Oryzias latipes: one gene and its partner. The protein of the gene in region 1 binds, or shares a complex with, the protein of each later gene. Links are inferred from orthologs where the notes say so. Each region holds a gene or a part of one and is shown in the gene's direction. Other genes may lie near its edges.

Region 1 (2,396 bases):
TGTGGCAATTAAAGAATCCAGATGAAATTATGGTTAAAATGCCTTGATCTAATCTGGATCCTCTACTTGCCACAGTATAAAAGTTTGGTGGTAGATAGAATGAAATATTCATTTTTACATCAAATGTATTTTTGGTGATTAACCGATTAGGCGGTTATTTATTCACCAAATAGGATTATCATCCAAGAAAGTACTGATTGAAGTTCTTATAGTTTTTATGAAGCTTCTTTTTATTCAGGCAATGTCTATGCCTGCCTGCATGTGTTGACTGGATGACTAAATGAAACTCATTTTGAAGGAGTTATCCCTTCCATTTGTTTGAATCTAGTTGCTTCACTATTTCTTTTATTCTTAAGACGATCAAAGTTATTTTAAGGTTCAACTAATAAACCAGAAATATTGTGTAATCTTGTTTTTGTAGGTGCGCAATGTTGACATCCCCATGCTGGACCCTTATAGGGAGGAGATGATGGACAAAAACTTCAGTACCTTCAGCTTTGGAGGCCACCTAAACTTTGAAGCTTTTGTCCAGTATCAGGAGTATGGCTTCTTCACAAAAGCCATGGATACGCTCCGCGGCATGAAGCTGATGCTGAAAGGAGAGGATGGAAAGGCAGTGGCCTGCAACATCAAGGTACTCTATCTTCAAATGTAGAGAACTTCTTTACCCTACAATCATGAGCACACTTTAAATGAGCTACTTTGGCTTCAGCTCTTTTATTTTCTGCTAAATATTTGTAAATCACTGCGCATCATAGAATGGAATTGTCCTATTTTGAGAGTCTGGTGTTAGAGGCTGTCCTCTTTACCCAGAAGGGTTGAGAAACCCCCCTAATGGCTACTTCATGTACACATTTATAGCTAATTTCATGTCTATTGTACTTAAACACAACTTAGTGGGTGTTTTCACCTCCATGTAAGCAAATAAATGACTGAAAGGCTTTTCTTTTTGGAGTTTTTAAATGATATGAAGGACTTATCACCTAAGCTCCATAAATATCTAAAAGTCTACGATACCGTAAATCATTTTTGAGTGAAAGTCTTGGTTTTACTTCAAAAGCTGTTTATTTTTAATGATTCCTTATTTTGTGACATGACTGATTAAATGCAGCTCTTGCAGTGATGATGAACATTTGCAGGCTGAATCAAAGAGATTGTTCTGGTCTGAGTGACAGAGTAGCTTAAGACCTTTCACTGCCATCAGAATGAAAGCTGTGTCATCAGTATCTCTGAGGTTCTGCTGGCGGCAGACTGAAGTGGTTTAATCCAGAGACTAAAGCTGTGGGATTTAAACTGATGTAAGACCCCAGAAAAGGCAACTTTGATTACAGATAATGAAATGCATATATTTGTTTTCAAATGCCAAAGTTTGAATGTTCTTGGTCTCATACTTCAACATTTCATCAAGGCGGACATCTTTTAGTTTCTTGCAGGTACCGGTACATAAATGCCCAAAACTCCTCGGTTAGCAAACACACAACAGTCATATTTATCGTTAAATGATGTTAAATGTGGTTTTTATTCCTTTCAGGTGACGTTCGACACCAGCAAACACCTTAGTGACGCGGCCATTAAGAAGAGGAACCTGGAGCGGCTGAAGCTGCAGGAGCTGGAGAAGCAGAGAGAGGAGCAGAAACGACGAGAGAAAGAAGAGGAGGAGAGGCGAAAGGAGGAAGAGAGGTATGGTAAAAAACAGGGGAATGGTCAGTTCATCTAGACTGGTGAGGCTTCAGTATGGCCACATTAAACACAAAAGTAAATGAATTCACATGCAACCTTATGTCAAAAAATGTATTTGCATTTCTTCCTTCTGCTTTTTTTTAATTTTAATTTTAAGAAAATATTTACCCTCATCTTCTCCTGAACAGGAACAGGAAATTGTAGTTTTTCTTTTCCCTCTTAGAATTCAGTCTACTTTCACCAAAAACAGGGTTATATCCGTGTCACTGATTGCTTTTTCAGGAAACTGAAAAAGATGGAGGAGGAGGAAAAGGAGAGAAAAAGAGAAGAGAGGATAAGGAAGCGGGAGCAAAAGCTACGGGAGAAGGAGGAAAGGAGGAATGTGAAGAAGGTCAGGCGGCAGCAGGAGGAGGAGCAGAAGAAGCTGCAGATGAAGATCGCGATGGAGGAGAGGAGGCTGCTGCTGGCTCAGCGCAACCTGGAATCCTTACGTCTCGTTGCTGAGCTGCTGGCCAGAGCCAAGGTATGAAACTCGCACAGGTTTTCCCCCTCCGGAGTTTCACAGCCCTTGTTTTGACAGCACAGATGGTTTTCTTTATGTCTCGTCCTTCCCTTCAGACACTCAAACAGCATCAGGAGGAAAAAGAAAAGGCGGAACGAGAGAAGCAAGAGCGACAGGAGCAGGCCAGACAAAAGGAGGAATTGGCTCGCCTTCA
Region 2 (3,760 bases), on another chromosome or scaffold:
AGCTCACAGCGCTTTTCTGAAAATGTCTATCATCCTTTCTGAAAGTTCACTTCTGCTTCAGCTTTACACTTTATGCCATCTGTAAACAAAACTTTTACCATCTCCAGCTGACTAACAGAGGTCAACGCTGAACATATTTTTTTATTTAAAACATAGAACTCTAAATGGATCCAAGAGAGTCAGTTAATTTGAGGTAACCCCCCCCCCCCTTCCACCCACCTCAGGCCTGACCAAAAAAGCAAAAACCAGAAGGAGTTCACCCACTCACAAGCAGAAATAGATACAGACACAACTTCAAGCCCCCCAACACAGAATCCCACACATGTTGACCAATCATTTATTTCCAAGAAAATGTTTCCATTTTCAAATTAAGAGTTTAGAGACCTCTAGTGGTCTTTTGTAATTGAATTCTTCATGTTTATTAGGCAGCTTTACAAAGAAACATGCAAATCAAATAAAAAATTACTTGAATTATAACTGTTTTTGTTTGTTTGTTTTTCAAAATATAATATGATAATGTTTTTCATTAGTTAAGTATTTAAAAGTTACTCCCAAACCACTCATCATCTTGAAAAGAAACATTAAACATACAGTACAGACCAAACGTTTGGACAAACCTTCCCATTCATTTGAATGAGAAGGTGTGTCCAAACTTTTGGTCAGTACTGTAGTAAGAAGAACATCTTTCCTATGGGATAGATGGGGAGGCATGTGGTCGAGGGTTCTGCTGTGTAAACCATGAAGAGAAAAGAGAAAAGCTAACAAAAAAAGTCATTTTTGTCATCAAATATTTTTTATAACTTTTTCTGAGTCCCATTACAGGACTGTTGTGAAATTAAAATTAATGACATTATTATTAAAATTAATCTGTATATTTTTAATTAAAATATTACATTTTCTATGAATGGATTTAACACAAGTAAATCAAAATTGAACTTTTTTTGTTAATAAATCTTACAGTGCAATTAAGTTTTAAGTGAAGATCATTTGCCAAAAAAAAAAAAAAACTATTTCAAAAGTTTTACTAAAAAAGAATAATTCCCTGTATCCTGTACAAATCTGACGAATATTGCAATATGGTAAAATTATTATTAATATTATTACTCTTACTATCATTATTATCTCTGAACGACAACTCCCGACATCCCAATGTTTTGTTTACCCAGCATGCATTTTGGTTGCAATATGCTAAAGCAAGATGGCGACTAAAACAGGCAAAGACGGTCCTCCGCCTTTTGATTGTCCATCATGGTGAGAAAACTTACTTATTGCAGAACAAACTAGAAATTTGTAACGCGTTGCTGGATGTGCATTTGCAAAGCTATTTGACCTGTTCATTTGTGCCTTTTAATGCTAAGTAGAAGTCTGTAGTTGCAGTTGCTAACATTAGCTAGGTTAGCATGGTAACCCTTAGCGTTGTTGGCGTCAATTAACCAGAAGGGCTAGAAATTATTTATTCGAACGGGGAAAGCCGTGTTCTTTGTATGAGTAGAATTCACGTCCAGATCAATTAAAAATAATTATTATTATAAATGTGGAAAATATTTATCTTTAAAATATTTATTCTTGAAATAGCTAGCGCGGAGAGAAACATGTAAAAGACATTTGAATTCATTTATTGTAACATTAATTTGTGCATGATCCATGTTTGTTTGTTTTCCCTAAATATTGACAGTAGTTGATCGTCTGTTTACAGGGCAGGCAAACCCCCCACGGGGCTTCATCTTGACGTAATGAAGGGAGACAAACTGATAGAGGTAATAATTGAATGAAAATGTGCAGATGTTGGTCCTGTTATGCAGTAATATGACTGCTTATTCTGCTTTTGTGCCTTACTGTTGTTAAATCATGTATCGTGTAAGTCCATACATGCACCCATACACGAGCCTGACAGTCTGCTCTGTCCCTGATGTTTGAACATCAGGACAGGTCTGTGGCTGCATGGCTTCCAACGGTGCTACAGCAAAATCAGCCGTGAGGTTTAAGCTGATCAGTGGAAGCGACACTGATGAGTTATGACTCAGAGGTACACCTGTACTGTTGAAGCCATACTTTATGTGTGACTGACAGAAAAAACATTCTCTCTTTTCTATAGAAATTGATTATTGATGAGAAGAAGTTTTACCTTTTTGGGAGGAACCCCGACTGGTGTGACTTCACCATCGACCATCAGTCATGTTCCCGTGTTCATGCTGCCTTAGTCTACCACAAACACCTAAAAAGACTCTTCCTTATAGACCTCAACAGCAGTAAGGGATCGCTTTTAGTCCTACCTTTGTATTTGATTTATATTGTTGGAAGAAAGAAACGGTACACAAAGCAGAATGCAATACTGAAGCATTTTAATCATTTAGGAATTGAATACATTCTGCCATCACGTTTGATACATTTACGAATATTAAATCATATGAATAGAGTTAAAAGGATCACCACAGCTTCAACATCCATACACATTTTGTTTGTTTGTATTTCATGTGTTGTGATGAAATCACGGATCGTATCACTGAAAAATTTAGATTTGATCAACTTTCTGACTTTAAAGCAAATATCTTTCCCAATTGCTAAAAGAGTTGGAGTGTACGGTGGTGGTAAAAATTGCATCTTGTTTTGTTGTAGTATTGTTTCATTGTTATGACAGTGTTGCGTTACCTCTTTATTTTATTCTTTTGGGAAACCTTATTTGATTGTTACCCTTTCAGCACATGGTACTTTCCTTGGACACATCCGCCTCGAGGCCCACAAGCCTCAGCAGGTTCCTATAGACTCCACTTTAGCTTTTGGGGCTTCCACGCGAACGTATATCATCAGAGAGAAACCCCAAACCCAAGGCAGCACTAGCACAGGAGACAATAAGACGGGAGATGACGAGGAGCTCAAAGGACTTCTAGGTCTTCCAGAAGAAGAAACAGAGTTAGATGTACGTTATGTTTTCTGATCAATCTTGTTTTCATCTCTGTTTATTCCAGTCTTTTTGCCTGTTGATTCTTGAACTCTGGCTAAATTTGTCAAACTACTAAAGTTTAAGATTTGCTTGTTTGCTTTTATACAAATAGACCTGCATATTTTACTTTGACCATGTGTGCATGGTCAAAGTAAAAGTAAAAGTAAGTAGTGGCAAGGTTTAGTTTCAGAATACTACTATGTTTTTTCCCACTTATGAATCCTTTAATCCCGTCTACCGGTTGGTTGAAATGTTGTAGCCGCCTTACAAATGTTTGTGGTTTCTGAATCCTGTCAGAATCTGACAGAGTTCAACACAGCTCACAACAAGCGCATCTCGCTATTGACCATTGAAGAAGGCAACCTGGAAATCCAAAGACCTAAAAGGAAACGCAGAAACTCCAGAGTCACCTTCAGTGAAGAGGACTCCATCATTAACCCAGGTACTTACCAGTGTAAAAAATAAAAAACTTCATTTATGAACTTCTTGTTTTTAATCATAGCTGTTTTCACCTCTTGAGACAGGATGAATATTTTTTTGGTAGATTTCCTGTGGACTAGTTCTTTATATATATATATATAAGTTTATGTACTGGTAAATAGTTTTTTGTTTTTTTTGGGGGGGGTGTGTAGTTAATTTCCCTTTTTATTAAAGCACAGTCAAATAATTCTGTCAATGTTGCTTTCTAAAGATATACACCCAAATTTTAGTTTATGAAAAGGCTGAAAAATATTTGTAAAATACATTGATATTACTTTTGCAGTTGTGTCAAAGTGTGTCTATTCCATGTTATTCTCCAGTTATTAGGATTCTCATGAA

What was found. Proteins that work in one complex are often made in the same cells at the same time.
Region 2: akap17a (region 1) and ppp1r8 share a complex: the UniProt entries of both Homo sapiens proteins name them as parts of the spliceosome. The link is inferred for Oryzias latipes from reciprocal best matches to the Homo sapiens genes AKAP17A and PPP1R8.

The regions. Positions count from the first base shown.
Region 1 is NC_019879.2:18,190,396-18,192,791, forward strand, and holds part of akap17a (A-kinase anchor protein 17A), read left to right. Parts: intron 1-421; coding exon 422-634; intron 635-1,531; coding exon 1,532-1,680; intron 1,681-1,962; coding exon 1,963-2,203; intron 2,204-2,298; coding exon 2,299-2,396. UniProt on the Homo sapiens protein: Splice factor regulating alternative splice site selection for certain mRNA precursors. Mediates regulation of pre-mRNA splicing in a PKA-dependent manner.
Region 2 is NC_019874.2:22,802,839-22,806,598, reverse strand, and holds the start of ppp1r8 (nuclear inhibitor of protein phosphatase 1), read left to right. Parts: upstream 1-1,151; 5' UTR 1,152-1,198; coding exon 1,199-1,251; intron 1,252-1,696; coding exon 1,697-1,757; intron 1,758-1,869; exon of another isoform or gene 1,870-2,008; coding exon of another isoform or gene 2,009-2,026; exon of another isoform or gene 2,027-2,034; intron 2,035-2,095; coding exon 2,096-2,249; intron 2,250-2,699; coding exon 2,700-2,917; intron 2,918-3,238; coding exon 3,239-3,383; intron 3,384-3,760. UniProt on the Homo sapiens protein: Inhibitor subunit of the major nuclear protein phosphatase-1 (PP-1). It has RNA-binding activity but does not cleave RNA and may target PP-1 to RNA-associated substrates. May also be involved in pre-mRNA splicing.